Linked DNA regions of Ovis aries. The protein of the gene in region 1 purifies or fractionates together with the protein of each later gene. This does not show direct contact. Links are inferred from orthologs where the notes say so. Each region holds a gene or a part of one and is shown on either strand. Other genes may lie near its edges. The genes, in order: EXOC7 and EXOC6B.

Evidence for each region.
Region 2: the proteins of EXOC7 (region 1) and EXOC6B purify together in Homo sapiens (affinity purification with mass spectrometry; 3 studies listed by BioGRID and IntAct, with this or other methods). This does not show direct contact. The link is inferred for Ovis aries from reciprocal best matches to the Homo sapiens genes EXOC7 and EXOC6B.

The regions. Positions count from the first base shown.
Region 1 is NC_056064.1:54,917,422-54,925,829, forward strand, and holds the end of EXOC7 (exocyst complex component 7), read left to right. Parts: intron 1-463; coding exon 464-609; intron 610-835; coding exon 836-988; intron 989-1,209; coding exon 1,210-1,308; intron 1,309-1,669; coding exon 1,670-1,732; intron 1,733-1,987; coding exon 1,988-2,054; intron 2,055-2,783; coding exon 2,784-2,822; intron 2,823-3,555; coding exon 3,556-3,621; intron 3,622-3,913; coding exon 3,914-4,034; intron 4,035-4,251; coding exon 4,252-4,347; intron 4,348-5,098; coding exon 5,099-5,162; intron 5,163-5,352; coding exon 5,353-5,394; intron 5,395-5,494; coding exon 5,495-5,628; intron 5,629-5,875; coding exon 5,876-5,978; 3' UTR 5,979-6,049; downstream 6,050-8,408. Other genes in the region: ZACN (zinc-activated ligand-gated ion channel), read right to left, coding at 6,997-7,187, 7,820-7,984, 8,149-8,356. UniProt on the Homo sapiens protein: Component of the exocyst complex involved in the docking of exocytic vesicles with fusion sites on the plasma membrane.
Region 2 is NC_056056.1:94,827,593-94,836,514, reverse strand, and holds the start of EXOC6B (exocyst complex component 6B), read left to right. Parts: upstream 1-2,817; 5' UTR 2,818-2,951; coding exon of another isoform or gene 2,952-3,064; intron 3,065-8,922. UniProt on the Homo sapiens protein: Component of the exocyst complex involved in the docking of exocytic vesicles with fusion sites on the plasma membrane.

The DNA.
Region 1 (8,408 bases):
CAGGCCTGGCCAGGCCGGTGTCTGCCTTTAGAGGCCCAGCATCTTCTGAGATGGCGCCAACCTCCTTGGGGTGGACATTGCCTCTTGCCCATCCCTGGGTGTCGTCTTCCCAGTACAGTTCAGAATCCCCTGTCTGGGGTCAGACGTGTCTTCTCCGGGAAGTAGACTGAGGGGTCTTCTTGTCCTTGAATCCTCCCCCACACCTCCCACACCTGACGCTCTGGGATAGTAATACTGCCCACAGCAGAGCTGAAAATGAAGCTCAGACCAAGGCTGGACTCAGCCCCATTTTTCCCTCCTCAAACCCTGGCAGCTCTGCTGGAGTCCTCTCAGCTTTCTGCCAGCAGTCTTCCTCCCATCTGCTGCCAATCTGGCCAGGAGCTGGAGAGATTCACGGCCCCCACCCCAGCAGGGAGAGGGGCTACCCCAGACCAGTAGCTCAGGGGCCCTGCTGTCCCCCCAGGGAGAGATGACATGCTGGACGTGGAAACCGATGCCTACATTCACTGCGCCAGTGCCTTTGTCAAGCTGGCCCAGAGCGAGTACCAGCTGCTGACGGACGTCATCCCTGAGCACCATCAGAAAAAGACCTTCGACTCTTTGATACAGGTCTGGCCCCGCCCCGCCCCAAGTGAGAGCTATCCCTGCAGAAGCTTGAGTCTGGGCCAGGTTCCTAGCCCTTAACTCCAGCCACTGCCTCCACCCCGATCCTGGGGCCTCTGAACTGGGTGATCAGAGGCACACACCTCCTCACACCCTTCCAGGTCCCCTCACTGGCCATGGGAGCCGGCTGGCTGCCCCTCCCCTGAGCCCTCCCCCTGCCCCGCTCTCTCAGGACGCCCTGGACGGGCTCATGCTAGAAGGCGAGAACATTGTGGTGGCCGCCCGCAAGGCCATCATCCGCCACGACTTCTCAGCCGTGCTCACTGTCTTCCCCATCTTGCGGCACCTCAAGCAGACCAAGCCTGAGTTTGACCAGGTGCTCCAGGTACGTGGGGGTGGGGGGGGCCCTTGGGGATGCTGCCTAGCAGGGCCTCCCAGGAGAACTGCATTCTCTGCTCAGAGTGGTGGGCAGCGGCAGCTTCCTCAGGGCCCTGGGTGGGTGGAGGCACTCTCAGGGGAATGAGGAGAAGAGACAGTCCCCGGGGCGGGGGGCTGGGAAGGAGCAGGGCTCCGGAGCCCTGTGCAGCCCTGTGGCTACATCCTCAGGGCACAGCCGCCAGCACCAAGAACAAGCTGCCCAGCCTCATCACTTCCATGGAGACTGTGGGAGCCAAAGCGCTGGAGGACTTTGCCGACAACATCAAGGTGCCCTTCCTCTGTTCACGCCACCCAGGCCGGCAGGCGGGGCTGCAGGCAGGGCCACCTGCGACCGGCCTCAGGAACTCCTGAGAGCAGGCCTCCAAGTGGGTTGGGCCTGCCCTGCAGGGAAGCCAGCCAGCCGTGCTGCTGGTCTCCTGTCAGTACCCACGGGCCTCCCTTTCTTTCCCAGAGGCCCCCACTTGAGGCATCAAGCTCCTTTAGGTCCCTCTTGCTCGTTTTTTGTGCCGGATGGGGTGTCCTGACACTTGTCTGCCAGGAGGTGGTGCTGTGGGCCCACAGACGGGTGCAAGGTTGGCTGGGGCCTCCTTAGGAGCTGTTTCAGGGACTCAGGCTGTCTGTCCCACAGAACGACCCCGACAAGGAATACAACATGCCCAAGGATGGCACCGTGCACGAGCTCACGAGCAACGTAGGTGCTGCTGGGGACTCCTGGGGCGGGCGGGGGGCGCAGGTGGCAGGATGGGCTGGAGGCGCTAAGTGCCCTCTGCAGACGGGGCCTTTCCCTGGAGGCCAGACCCACAGGGTGAAGCAGCAAGTTTGCTCCCACCCGTTTCGCCTGCCCTCACCTGTCTGGAACGGTCAGAGGGGCTGCATTGTGGGGGCTGATCCAGCCTTTGGGTCCTGCCCTTAACCTTCTTCTTGGCCCCGTTTTCTCCCCACACAGGCCATCCTCTTCCTGCAGCAGCTCCTGGACTTCCAGGAGACGGCAGGTGCCATGCTGGCCTCCCAAGGTACTTGACACCTCCCAGTGGGGCCCCCCACCCCATTCCTCCCTCCAGGCTAGAGACATGGGGTTAGCCCCTCCCCAGGGGGCACCCTCCTCTCTGGGTGAGGAGATTCCCCCCACCCTGGGTGGGTGGAAAGGAGTCGTGGCCTGTGACGGGACCTCCCTCAAGCCTCTTGGACCATCAGACCCAGCATCAGGAGAGCAGGGTCTGACCACCTGCCCCGGCCTCCGTCCCCCCGGCTCCCTCCACCGTCCTCGCCCTGGAGCGCGGACCCCACTTGTCTGAAAGTGTCTTTCGTGCCCCGCTCCCGCCTCCTCCTGCACTTCCCCACCTCCTCTTGTGTTGCCTGTCCTCCTACTTGGTCTCACACTGCTGACCCATTGAGCGGGCTCGGCTGGCATCTCAGGGCCAGCCTGGTGTCTTCCCGTGACTGGGGCTGGGAAGTCAGCACGTGGGGAGGCGTGTGCTGAGACCCAGCCCTGGGCCTCCCCTGTACCCCGCATCCTGGGGGCAGCCTCTGGCCTGTCGTTCTCCTGATGTCCACTTTCCAGTGTGTCCCTGGCCTGCGGGGGTCCAGCCTGGGCTTTCCTGCTGTCTGTGTCCCGGTGTCGAGGGGCGTGGGCTGCTTGGCTCGGGTGTGGCGGCCGTCTCTAACCTGTTTTGCACTTTGCATCTTTCTCCCTCCTTTGTCTCCCCCCTTCCCCTCTGTGCGCACTGCCTCTCACTGCGTAGTTCTTGGGGACACATACAATATTCCTTTAGACCCCCGAGGTAAGCAGCAGGGCTCGGCAGCCCCATCCTACCCCTCTGAAGCCCCGTGGGTGAGGTTCCCTGGGGACAGAGGCCCCTGGACAGGCTCAGGGCCCCAGTCCGAGCAGGGTCAGAGGGGCACGGGTTCCTTCAGGGTGCTCCTGACCCCCTCAGCTCTCTGACCACCAGTTTCTGTCCCTGGGCTTCTGCAGACAGCATCCTGCTGTGCCCAGCACCCTGACTACACCCTTTGGGCAGGTCCAGCACCTCCCTGTCCCCTTCCTCCCCTGTCCACTCCCCACCCCCCTGGCCTTCTGCTCTGTGTGGGCAGGACACCTCTGGTCTGGTAGAGGAGGTTATGGGTAGTGGGGGAGAAGGTGGAGAGGCCATCAGGGGCCTATTCTAAAACTCTGCTGCTAACAAATGGGATATGTGGGTCTTGTAGGTACCACCCAGCTTGGGTGGGGGGAAGGGGCTGTCCCCACGCCCATCCTGCCCGTCTTCCTCCTGGTCCTTGGGGGCCAGCTCATTAACCCTACCACCCAGGACCATGGAGGGGCCTCCCCGGATTCCAGAAGAGTCCCAGGAAGCGCTCCCCTCAGCTGGAAGGGAGCCCCGTAGCTCAGGACATACCCAGCTCTGACTAAGGAAGGCTCCTCCCAGGGTTTCCCCAGCTGTTCCCCTGGCCAAGGGGAGACCAGAGAGGGTCTCGGCTGCTACCACCGCCGCGGTAACAGGACTTCTCCTCTCGCAGAGACCAGCTCCTCCGCCACCAGCTACAGCTCCGAGTTCAGCAGGCGTCTGCTGAGCACGTACATCTGTAAGTGGCCCCTGCCAGCCAGCAGCCCTGGTGCCTGGCCTCCCTGCCTTTTCCCTTCCTTCTCCTCTCTGTGTGCTCCTGCTAGTCCTGGGCCCGCTTCTGAGGGACCCCACCCTGCCCCGACCTTTAGAATTGCAACCTGATCTCTGGTTGGGGGATTGTGGGCGCTGGGCCAAGGACTGCTGAGTCTGGTGGGGTCTTGGGTCCAGGAGGGACAAGGAGCAACGAGTGGGAGTTGGTTTGCGGATCAGACTGCCGTGGTTGGTAGGTAACCACGTCCTTCCCTGTGCAGGTAAAGTCCTAGGCAACCTGCAGTTGAACCTGCTGAGCAAATCCAAGGTGTATGAGGACCCGGCTCTGAGCGCCATCTTCCTGCACAACAACTACAACTACATCCTCAAGGCCCTGGAGAAGTAAGTGGCCGCGGGGGCTGCTCTGGGGCTCACCTGCCTCTGCCCGGCCTCCTGGGGATGGCCATGCCCCCTGGTGTCCCGGTGGAGAGGGCACCCCTTCACCCTAGGCGGGCCCAGGACCCAGGGAGGTGGGAGGCAGGCCCCGTCGAGGTTGCTGCGAAGGCCAGCAGCCTGTGGGACCTCCTCTCTCTCCTCCCGCCCCCCGCTCCCACCCCAGGTCCGAGCTGATCCAGCTGGTGGCCGTGACCCAGAAGACTGCCGAGCGCTCCTACCGGGAGCACATCGAGCAGCAGATCCAGACCTACCAGCGCAGGTGGGGAGCCCCCCACCTCGACCTGCATACCCACCACTCACGCTTCCTTCCCAGAGCCTGGGGACGCTGGGCGGGGTCAGTGGTGGGGAACTGCTGCCCAGTGGACCCCAATCCTCTGCTTTTTAATCACATTTGTTGGGGGTGGGAGGCCCCCTCCCACTTGCTACTCCTTGGCAGGGAAGGGGCACTTTGCCAGTCTGTTCAAGGGTAGTCTGCCAAGGGTGACAGCTAAGAATGGTTGACTGTCAGAGATGTGGGTAACTTTTTGGCCGAGCAAAGAGCAAGGTCGCAAGGGCCCTTGAACTTGGCCGAGCCTCGCCCTCCGGACCTGTCTCTGGTCCTCTCCTCCTGTTTCTTAGTTCGTGTGTCTCTCTCCCTTCGGGTGTTTCTTCCCCGTGGCTGTATCTCCCTCTTCCTTCTTGTTTATCTGCTCCTCCTTTCTCATCTGCTTCTCCATCTAAATTGGCTGTGATGCTGACATGAACTGCAGTCGGCAGTGCTTAATCAATCTATTGAGTGCTCTGTTTCCTGTCCTTAATTTTAAAAGCGAGCAGCTTGAACATTTTTATTCCCAAGGGGGGAGAAAAAAAATCTCAGCTGTGTTTTGCTCAGTTTTGACCCAAACCGATCCCTGCCCTCACCACCTACCCCAGTAGATGAAGAGATTTTTGAAAAAACAAAACCCCAGGAAAGGGAGCAGGGGCCTGAGGCTGTCCCTTTTCTGCCCTGTGTTTCCCTCCCTGCCTCGCAGTTGGTTAAAGGTGACTGACTACATTGCCGAGAAGAATCTACCTGTGGTCCAGCCTGGAGTCAAGGTGAGCTGAAGGGGAGGGGAGGGATGGCTAGTGGATATGGTGCTCTATGTTGTCTCTCTGGGAAAAAAAGTAAACAACCAGGATGAGAAAGCAAGGATGCCTGTGGCCCCGGGGGCAGAAGGGAAGGAGCCAGGGGCAGGGCGCCTCTGCTCTGAGCTCCACTTTGTCTGCTATCTCCCCCGGCCCCCAGCTTCGGGACAAGGAGCGGCAGATGATCAAGGAGCGTTTTAAGGTAAATCAGGATCTTCTCCCCTCCATCGATTGATGTGTAGCAACACAGACCCAAACATTTGTCCCTGGATCACTGCTATTTCCCCCTGTTTGGTGGCCAGGGCTTCAACGATGGCCTTGAGGAGTTGTGCAAGATCCAGAAGGCCTGGGCTATTCCCGACACAGAGCAGAGGGACAAGATCCGCCAAGCTCAGAAAAGCATCGTTAAGGAGACCTACGGGGCCTTTCTAAACAGGTGAGCCCTTCATCTCTGCCTTCCCAGCCCCACGCTTCCCTCTGCCCCAACTCAAAGACCTCTGGGCTCTTTTCTTTGAGAAAACGTGGAGAGAGGGGGTGGGTTCAGGTGGCAGACCCAGCACCTATGGCTTTGGTGTGGGGCCAGACCAAAACACGACTCGGGGCACACCGTCAGGAGGGCCTTAGGCTGAGGCAGGGCTAGGGGCGGGCTCAGCCTGCACCCCCTGACCTTAGCACCTGGGCAGGTATGGCAGCGTGCCCTTCACCAAGAACCCGGAGAAGTACATCAAGTACCGCGTGGAGCAGGTGGGGGACATGATCGATCGCCTCTTTGACACCTCGGCCTGAGCTGCCACTGCCCCTGCCTGGCTCTGCCAGAGCAGCTGTGTTACTGGACAGATAAACAGGTGTGGACTTGCCTCTGGGCCGGGTGAGTGTGGCATCCTTTGCGACAGGGGCATTGCTCTGCCACCCAGCCAGGAGCCCTGCCCCCGAGTCATTGAGTCCTGGTCTGCCCTTCCTCTCGCAGCCCCCATTCCCTACCCAAGCAGCGCTCTCCCAGAGCTTTGGGGTTTGTCACCCTGACCACAGCCTGCAGCAGCCACAGGATGGCTTCAAGATGAGAAGGACAGAGAAGGGAGACAGAGGTCTGTGCCTACAGCTGCCTTGCGGGACGGGAGGAGGAGTGCTGAGTAGCCCTGCCTCCAGGCCAGCTCGGAACTGGTGTGGTGAATGCCCTTCAGCCCAGGCCTGAGGTTCAGGCTCAGGGGAGCAGGCCATACTGCAGCCCCAGGCCCTGCAGAAAAGCAAGGAGGCTGGACTGCTCTCAGACTCAGTGCAGAGAATGCCTGCCCCATTCCCACAGTCCTGCTGCCTGGGGGGTTCTGTCCCCAAGGTGCACCCGGTGGCTGGAGTAGAAGTGCCCTCCCTGCCCTCTGAGCACTCGGCCGGAGCTCACAGGAGGGATCCTAACCGTCCCGGGCCTGTCTCGGGGGCTCCAGTGCTCCTGGCCCGGGGCTAAGCGGCAGCAGTTGCTGAAGGAGCAGTTAGGCAGTGTTTGGGGACTGGGGGACCAGCGGACAGTGGTGAGACAGTCTGAAGCAGAATGGGGCTCAGGGACGTGAGATGGGGCCCCACCTACTCCAACAAAAGTAAACAGCGGAACGTGACAGAGACAGACCCCAGAGGTGCCCTTGCCCTGGGGTGATGTGTTTATTCCACACTCCTTGCTTACGTGCCAACAAGAAGGAGAGCTTGGGGTGGCTGGGGGTCCTCCAGGCTGAGGGAAGAGAGTCCACCTCCCTCCCCGTCCAGAGGCCCCGTCACAGCCCTCGCCCCCCAGGTCTGCAGCCCTGGGCCTTGCCCGTTACAGCCTGTGCTGCCCGCCGTGGGGTGCGGCTGCTCCAGGGGCGGGTTCCGACTTGCATGTCGCCCATATCCAGAGCACAATGAAGATGATCTGGCTACACGCCACCCCTACCACATACACATGGAAGAAGATGTGGTCAGCAGCCTCCGCCCAGCTCCTTCGGGACCCCTTCCGTGCTCCAGGGGCTTCTGTGTGGGCAGGAAGAGCGAAAGAAGACAGATTGCACGCTCTGCGTGTGCACAAGGGTGAGCCCCAGAGGGTGCTAGTCTGCCCCCCTTCATCACATTCACAGCTAAGGAACATTTGGGTCTAGCCCCTTTTAGATCATCGTGAGTTGAAGAAATGCCCCCTGAGAGAGGCTGTGCAAGGCACAGGGTTATCCTGTGCTAAGTCACTTCAGTCGTGTCCGACTCTTTGTGACCCCATGGACTGTAGCCTGCCAGGCTCCTCTGTCCACGGGATTCTCCGGGCAAGAATACTGGAGTGGGTTGCCATACTCTCCTCCAGGGGGTCTTCCCGACCCAGGGATTGAACCCATGTCTCTTAAGTCTCCTGCATTGGCAGACGGGCTCTATATCCCTAGTGCCACCTGGGAAGCCTAGAGAGTCTGAAGTCACTGGGCCTTGGGGAGGCTGATTCTGCTCCCTGCTCCAGACCTGCTGCTTGTGAGCACAGCCATGGTGGAGTCCGGGCAGCAGAGCCGGCCGAGGTGGGTGCAGGAACCTCTAAGGAGCCCGGTGACCTGCAGCCCCAGTCTGCCAGCTCTGCCCCTAGGCCTCCTCCTCCACCCCGCCAGGAAGGGGCCCCAGCCCCTGCCCACCTTCAGGGTTAGGCCCTGGCTTCCCGCGGTTGTGCTGCTCCCCATTCAGCGCTGGAATGGGGCTGTCCTCTGCCCTGAGCTTGCCCCGGGCCAGGAGCCCGGTCAACAGCACAGTCTCGGTGGTGCTGACAAAGAGCAGCAGCAGCAGGATGGTGAAGTAGTAAACTGGAGACGGGGTGGAGAAGAGCGGTCAGGAGCCAGGCCTGGCCTCGCGGGCCCCAGGACCTGAGCAGAGGCACCCTGGCTCTGGTGACAGCAGGCAGAGGCGGAGTGAGACAGGCCCAGCACAGAGCAGCCCGGACCCAGGCCGGGCGAGGGCAGGGCCTTACCTAACAGGGGGTTGCAGGAGGAGGAGCTGGGCAGGGCCTGTATCAGGGAGGAGTGGAAGACGAGGTAGCTCAGAAGCAGGGTCACCTTGTAGGCGATGCGCTCAGTGTGGAGGGGCAGCAGCCCCCCGCACAGGTCAGCCAACAGCAGCGCCTCCCCAGGGACCAGGAGCGTTAAGATGGCCTTTAGCGCTGTGTTCTGCAGGCGCAACTGGAAGGAAGACAGGGTGTTCCAGGGAGTGGGCATAGAAGGGTGAGGTCAT
Region 2 (8,922 bases), on another chromosome or scaffold:
AGATCTCCTGGAGAAGGAAATGGCAATCCACTCCATTATTGCCTGGAAAATCCCATGGACAGAGAAGCCTGGCAGGCTCCAGGCAGTGGAGCTGCAGAAGAGGGGAATAAGACTTAATGACGAAACAAAAATAGATGCTTCTTAAGGCCAACTTGACTTCACACCACAGGATGTCTGGCTCTAGATGAGTGACCACACGATCAGGGTTATCTGTGTCATTAAGACCTTTCTTGTATCAGTTCAGTTCAGTACAGTTGCTCAGTCATGTCCGACTCTTCGCCACCCCATGAATCGCAGCACGCCAGGCCTCCCTGTCTATCACCAACTCCTGGAGTTCACTCAGACTCACATCCATCGAGTTGGTGACGCCATCCAGCGATCTCATTCTCTGTCGTCCCCTTCTCTTCCTGCCCTCAATCCCTCCCAGCATCAGGGTCTTTTCCAATGAGTCAGCTCTTCACATGAGGTGGCCAAAGTACTGGAGCTTCAGCTTTAGCATCATTCCTTCCAAAGAACACCCAGGACTGATCTCCTTCTGAATGGACTGGTTGGATCTCCTTGCAGTCCAAGGGACTCTCAAGAGTCTTCTCCAACACCACAGTTCAAAAGCATCAGTTCTTTAGTACTCAGCTTTCTTCACAGTCCAACTCTCACATCCATACATGAACACTGGAAAAACCATAGCCTTGACTAGATGGACCTTTGTTGGCAAAGCAATGTCTCTGCTTTTTAATATGCTGTCTAGGTTGGTCATGACAAGGAGTAAGCGTCTTTTAATTTCATGGCTGCAATCACCATCTGCAGTGATTTTGGAGCCCAGAAAAATAAAGTCTGACACTGTTTCTACTGTTTCCCCATCTATTTCCCATGAAGTGATGGGACCAGATGCTATGATCTTTGTTTTCTGAATGCTGAGCTTTAAGCCAACTTTTTCCCTCTCCTCTTTCACCGTCATCAAGAGGCTCTTTAGTTTCTCTTCACTTTCTGCCATAAGGGTGGTGTCATCTGCATATCTGAGGTTATTGATATTTCTCCCAGCAATCTTGATTCCAGCTTGTGCTTCTTCCAGTCCTGCGTTTCTCATGATGTATTCTGCATAGAAGTTAAATAAGCAGGGTGACAATATATAGCCTTGACGTACTCCTTTTCCTATTTGGAACCAGTCTGTTGTTCCACGTCCAGTTCTAACTGTTGCTTCCTGACCTGCATATAGGTTTCTCAAAAGGCAGGTCAGGTGGTCTGTATTCCCATCTCTTTCAGAATTTTTCACAGTTTATTGTGATCCACACAGTCAAAGGCTTTGGCATAGTCAATAAAGCAGAAATAGATGTTTTTCTGGAACTCTCTTACTTTTTCCATGATCCAGCAGATGTTGGCAATTTGATCTCTGGTTCCTCTGCCTGTTCTAAAACCTACTTGAACATCTGGAAGTTCATGGTTCACGTATTGCTGAAGCCTGGCTTGGAGAATTTTGAGCATTACTTTACTAGCATGTGGGATGAGTGCATTTGTGCCAGTAGTTTGAGCATTCTTTGGCCTTTCCTTCCTTTGGGATTGGAATGAAAACTGACCTATCCAGTCCTGTGGCCACTGCTGAGTTTTCCAAGTTTGCTGGCATATTGAGTGCAGCACTTTCACAGCATCATCTTTCAGGATTTGAAACAGCTCAACTGGAATTCCATCACCTCTACTAGCTTTGTTCGTAGTGATGCTTTCTAGCGCCCACTTGACTTCACCTTCTTGTATAGTTCGTGTATTTTTGCCACTTCTTCATATCTTCTGCTTTTGTTAGGTCCTTATGGTTTCTGTCCTTTTCGTGCTCATCCTTTCAAGAAATGTTCCTTTGATATTGCTAATTTTCTTGAAGAGATCTCTAGTCTTTGATCTGTATTTAAAAAGAGATCCAAGATGCTTTTGATGCAGGTGGTTGTTCGCCCAGTTGAGCCATTAGAATAAAGTACACATTTCTGTTCCTGGTGTTCCTCTTCCAAGATGCTCTTCTAGCACCATCTCTCATTGCTAATTCTCTATACACCAGTGCAAATGAAGTTCTTTCTGGTTTTCTAGGTGCTTCTCACACCTTCCAATCACACCTTTTGAAATGTTCAGGCATAGTCTGTCAATGAATTCTTCACAGACAAAAGTGCTTGCAGTGTTTGATTCTCAGAACTTGCTTAGAGGTACATTACACCTTATCTGTTAGTTTTGGGTATTTTAGTTTTGGGCTTTTCGTCTTTCATAACTTGTAAGATATCTGTTCAGAGAAACCCAGTTAATCCTTCCTTAATATTCGTGCCTAAAGAGGCTTTTGGACTTTGAGGCAAGGGTCTTCAACAAGAGCTGTCTGACAATCGCCGTTGCATATGAAGTTCCTAATTGTTCTTTCTTACAGTAGAACTCCCCCCCCCAAAAAAAAATTTTATTTATTTGGCTGCACCAGGTCATGGTTGCAGCACATGGGATCTAATTCCTTGACCAGGGAGTGAACCCAGGCAGCCTGCCTTGGGATTACGGAATCTTAGCCACTGGATATAGTGGAGCTCTTTTCTAAAAATTTAAATTTATTTATTTTAATTGGAGGCTAATTACTTTACAATATTGTTTGGTTTTGCCATACATCAACATGAATCCGCCACGGTGTACACGTGTTCCCAATCCTGAACCCCCCTCCCGCTTCCCTCTATAGTGGAGCTTTTAACAGAAGTTTGTGGCTTCAATGAATGATGTGTGAAATCAGGCTTTCTTCCAGAGAACTACAAATCCCAGCGGGCATCGCGCGGAACGTCCGCGGACGTGGTGATGCTAGGGGGCGTGCCCAGTCTGAGGGAGGGGTCGTCCTGCGGGTGGCCCGAGGCTTAGGATCCCCGGGAGCCTGGAGTGAGAGAGAGAGATTGAGAGCGAAAGGTGAGCGGAGCTGAGGGAGGGGACGCGCTGCGGGGCTCCCCGAGTCTATGGAGCGGGTTAAGATGGCGGAGGCGGAGAGCCTGGAGACAGCGGCGGAGCACGAACGGATTCTTCGAGAGATCGAGAGCACCGACACGGCCTGCATCGGGCCCACGCTCAGGTACCCTGGGTACCGGGGCCACAGAGGGGTGGGCACGGGCGGGACCCGGGAGGAGGCTCCCTCGGGACTGTGCGCCTGGCCGGCCTCTTGCAGGGCCAGCGCCGGCCCCTCCCTTCGGAGAACCCGGCGAGCGACCTCCACCCTCGGCAGGGCAGGTCCCCCTCCGTAGCCCCGCAGACCTGGCGTGGGGTTCCTTCCCGACCGTCGGCGCCGGCAGCCCCGTTACCCTGTAGGCTCCTACTGCCTCCCTCAGGGCTGGGGCAGCCTTCGTTCTCCCTCCGAGGCTGGCCCGGCGCGGGCAGCCGGAGCGCGCCGGACAGATGGTGGCTCTTAGGAGAGGGTCCCCCTGAGGACATCACCCTTCTGCCCCAGACTCAGGTCCTGCTCTTCAGGCAAAACAGAATTCACCCCACGGTCTGTTGCTCGGAGAGCAAACTCTTACCTCTAAAAATCACAGTCACTTCTCAGAAACGAGTTCCTGAAAATCCTAGGCCTGGAAGGAAGGAAGTTTCAACCCGCGCGCCCGTCTCCTGGGAGCGAGTACTTGCTGAGCACTGTCAGGAGGACGACCTCCCCAAAGGTCAGATTCCTGGTGCTCATCGCCGAAAAGACGTTATCTCCCTCCGTTCCCCGTGACACTTACTTTGCCCACACACCCCCATTTCACTGGAGACGTCAAACTAAGCCGCCACCTACCTCAACTTATTTAACAAACTTAGCTACAACTTACTGTGTACAGCGCAAGCCATTTATTAAGAGATTTACAAGTATAACTTATTCAAACCGCAAAACAGCCCTATTAGGTAGGTACTGTTATTACCCTCATTTTACAGATGAAGCCCAAAGAGGTTAAGTGACTTGCCCAAGGTCACAGGGAACATAAAGCAGGGGAGTCGCGATTCCTGCTCATGCATTCTGGATCCAGAGTATGCATTCTTAACCCCTCTTGTTCTGCTTCAGTTGGGGATCACCATCTATCCGTACTTTCTGCTAATTACTCACCCAAGCGCAAACTACCTTTCTCTTTCCCCTCAGTGTATTAGTGCCCTAGAACCAACACAGCGTCCTTCCTGTGGCACCTTCTGATCGCCATGCAGCCAACAGAGAGAATGATCTTACCCACCTCGTCCAGTCTTGGGGCGCTATTCCTCCCTTCATAAAGATTATGACTCACTGCTTGTGTTTTTCACGGGGAGAAGTTGCCTCATGAAAGTGGTTGAAAGAGGGGCAGGCTGCGGACTTCGCTTCTCATCTCCACCTCCACAGCTTCCTTCTCCAGGGCACACGGTTCCCCCAGTGCCATCCCTGGACATGGGGCATGACCATCCTCAGTAGTCTGCTTTTTGTCCCTGACTGCAGTATGATCATGACTGTCACAGTCCTCTCTTTTCATATTTTCTTGAGCTCTTAAAGGTGAATGACCCTTATTCCATTATCTTTACTTTTATAAAAACTAAGATTACTTACTGGTATTCTATGTACATTACTATTGGTTATTAATATTTAGTTTTTGTAAAATGAAATGTTATTAGACTTACAGAGGATGCTGTTTGAGTATTCTACTGAGAGATTTGGCTGCTGAGCTATATAGCTGGCAGCCAAGCAAAGCTCCCACTGGAATATTTGGGATTACCAGAGTTTTTAGGAAGGATTTTTCATCAGAATACCATTACTATTGTCTTGAGTTGGTTGTTTTCAGTTGCTGTTGTTCTTGGTTTATATGATAAATGACTTAATTTAGTGTTATCAGTTTAGTTTGTTGTGATTTATTATGTTAGCCCTCCACTGAATAATAATGCATATTTGTTCAGCTGAATTTTAGCCTGTAATTTTCCATTATATTGACTGAAGAATATATACATTATGTTTAAAATGTTATCCATTTTCCCTAAAATTTGCTGCATTATCACTGAACTCCATTGGAAGGTGGTGATTTTTTTTTTTTTTTGGGCTAGATGAAGTAGAGATCTTTTGTCCTAAGGGGATGTGGTAAGAAAAGTTTTGAGAACCACTGCACTATCCTACTAGTTTTATTTTCTGTTGTTGACTCCCTTTTTTCTTTATCAGGGACTTTTTATTTTTGGCATTGTCCTGTCTCTGATGGATAACCCTAAATCTTAACTATCAGACCCAAGATTCAATCATGTGAACATCCTACAAAACAAGTAATATCCACTGTCTTTGTCTTCAGTCTAGCTTGTTCCTGCCCGTGTTCATAGGAGATGATCTCATCTTTCTTCCGTATCCCATGCAGAGGCAGCAACATGCATAGACTTGGTGTTTCAGATCTCATACTTTAACCCTGGGTGCATGTTGATAATCACTATCTCGTGGTTTTCCATCACAGTCAGTAAACAGGTATGCTAAAGGCAATAGGCTCTTCTTCCTACCATTACCCTCAACTGTAAATCTCAGCCTCTATCCCTTTTCATAGTCTTTCCTGTTTCTTCTGTCTTTTGAGGCATTTTTAAGGCTCTTGGTTCTTACTTGTCCCTGAGATAGGTGTTCTAACTGCAGAGGAATTAAATAATAATAATTTGTGGTACCAAATTATTCTTCCAATTTTATCCCTTTTTGTTTGAGGAGCCACAATGGCTTGACTTTTTCATTATATGACTATCCTTATTTTAATCTTGAAATAGTACTTGCAGTATTAGTTGATTACTGTTTATCATAAGGAGTGACTTTCTTTATTTATTGTAATTCTAAAAGTCCCAAGCTTATCCATATATACAGAGGCTGTTGCCTAGAAGATTCTTTTGGGGAAGCAGCCATCTCTTCTCTGTCTTCATCTCGAAAATTATTTTGTTAGCTACAAGTCCTAATTTTGCAGATGAGGAAAGAGGCCCATTAGATGTAAGGGCATGTTTTGTTTTTAAAATGATATTGATTCTTGCTTTGTAGTGCTAATGCACTGCAGAAATTGATCACAAAATATTGTGCTGCTAATACACTGCAAAAATTGATCACAGAATATTGGTCACAAATCACTCATGAACAATAGCTCTATATTCTCATTTTTCAAATCACATCTATGTATCTCTAGTCTTCTTTCATATCACTTATTCAAAATAAGCTGTTTCCTCACTTTGCTCTCTGGGTACTGGCAATTAATATTGTCTTAATTGTTATTTGAGATTTTAAAACAGACTTTCAAATTTAGCAGTGAAATACTTTGCCTTTAAAACAGTAGCTTTATTGAGATATTCATATACTGTACAGTTCACCAATTGAAACTGTACAATTCAATGTTTTTTTTTTTTATCGAATTCACAGAATTGTGTAACAGTTACCACAATCTAATTTTAGAACATTTTCATCAGCCCTGAAAGAAACCCCATACCCATTAGCAGTCAGTCTTCATTCTGTCCCTTCCCCAGGCAGTCACTACTTTCTGTCTTCATGGGTTTGCCTGTTTTGTTCACTTTGTATAAATGGAATCATAGAACATTTTAAGGAGCTGCCAAACTCTGTAACAAAATGCATGCACTATTTTTTAGTCCCACTAGCAATGTATAAGGGCTCTAGTTTCTCCATATCCTTGTCAGCACTTGTTGCTATCTTTTTTTATTTTAGCCATCCCAGTGGATATGAAATTGTATCTCACTGTCATTTTGATTTGCATTTCTCTAATGGTTAATCTTTTCATGTGCTTAATAGTTATTTGTTTATGTTTTATGTTTTGTGTATTATGTTTTTTGGAGCAGTGCCTTCAGTTCCTTTGCTCAGTTTTAAATTGGATTATTTTTATTGTTGAGTTATAAGTGTTCTTTATATATTCTGGATATATCTTCTACCAGGAATAGGATTTGCAAATACTTTTTTCCATTCTTTTGGGTGGTTTTTTTCATTTTTCTTGATAGTATCACCTGCTGTACGAAAGTTTTAAATTTTGATATGAGGCCAGCATATCTAGTTTTTATTTTTTTGCTTGTGCTTTTGGTGTTGTATCTAGGTAACCTTTGCTTAACCCAAGATTATGAAGATTTGCTCCTAAGAGTTGTATAACTTTATTTCTACATCATGGTCTGTGATCCATTTGAGTTAATTTTTGTCTGTCATATAAGGAAGGGTGTCCAATTTCATTCTTTTGCATGGTGATGTGCAGTTTTTCCAGCATCATTTGTTGAGTGTCATTTTTTCTTATCCAGGTATATTTCTGGTTGACTTATTTTGTCTTTTTATCATGAAATTTATGTTCTTTATTTGTAGCAGCAGTGTAACCTTCAAGACCTTGTCATTGTGTTTATTGCACCTGCCTTGCTGCGTGTTCTCATCTGGGAAGAAGTTTGCTCTATTGTTTTCAGCTCACGATTTTCTCTTTTTAGCTTAGTTGCTGCCTTCCATTTCTAAGGGGCCGGTGTTGTAAGAATGATATTATTGCTATATTTGATCCTAGTAAAGCACTTGACTGTAGGGACTGAATCTTGTCTTACCATATGGAATGGTAGGTTTTAAGATTAACAAAGGGTATTAATGATAGAATATTATCTATTTGATATTTTTTTTAAATTACTTTACAATATTATATTGGTTTTGCCATACATTGACATGAATCCGCCACAGGTTCCCCATCCTGAACACCCCTCCCTCCTCCGATCTTTATCACTATTAAAACATTAAAAATTATGTCAACATTATAAAAATTTTGGAAGCTGTATTAGGAATTACTTGTACTAATGTAACATAGCTGCCGTTGTTCTGGTGCATTTCCTTTTAGATGCTTGCTTTATTTATTCTGTGGTTAAAAAATTGTATTTTTGGTATAGCAACAGTTTTCTCTCTTGCTTATTTGGTTGTGGAGGTGGTTTAGTTGCTAAGTTGTGACCTTTTCTTGTGACCCTAACCCACCAGGTTCCTCTGTCCCTGTCCATGTCTCTTGCATTGCAGACAGATTCTTCACTGCTGAGCCACCAGGGAAGCCCAAACTGTGTATAAAACTGCCTCTTCCAGAAAACAAATATGGGGAATATTTCCAAAAGCTCTTTTGCTGGATGTCATTTGATAATTAAATATGGCGAACTGACCTCCCCGCTTACTGCTTCTCTGCCTTTGGCCACATGACTTTGTTTTCCATCCTTTGGCCTCCCATTACCTGCTGCTGCTAAGTTGCTTCAGTCGTGTCCGACTCGGTGCGACCCCATAGACTGCAGCCCACCAGGCTCCTGTCCCTGGGATTCTCTAGGCAAGAACACTGGAGTGGGGTGCCCTTGCCTTCTCCACCATTACCTAAGTTTTACAAAATCCAGATAATCATAATCCTTGGTTGCTGACACTTTCTCGTTATTGGTCCCTGTATGGACCTCTTTAAGCAGTTAATTATTTTTGTAAGCAACTTACCACCTGAGTGGGCAATTTTTTTTCATCTTTAAATGGGGATACCACCTACATTGCAGGAACAGTATTAAAAAAAAGGAGATAAAGCATTCTTCATGGTACCTGCTAGGTGGTAGTAACTCTGATAGTGTGAGTCATATTCTGCCTTTTACCCTTGAGTTTGTAATGAGGACTTAGGTGTTTCATTGTTGTTGTTTAGTTGCTAAGTCGTGTCCGACTCTTTGTGACTCCATAGACTGTAGCCCGCCAGGCTCCTCTGTCTACGGAATTTCTCAGGCAAGAGTGGGTTGCCATTTCCTTCTCCAAGGGATCTTCCCCAGCCAGGGACTGAACCTGTGTCTCCTGCTTGTCAGGGGGATTCTTTACCACCAAGCCAGTGTTAATTACAAAACTTTGTGTTTGGAGTGATTCTTGACTTTTTTTTCCCCTTCTATTCATATATCTGAGGGATAAAATATTCATCAATAATCAGACCCTGGAAGTGGTTATTTTGAGATTGATTGGAGAATGGAGGAGGAGAT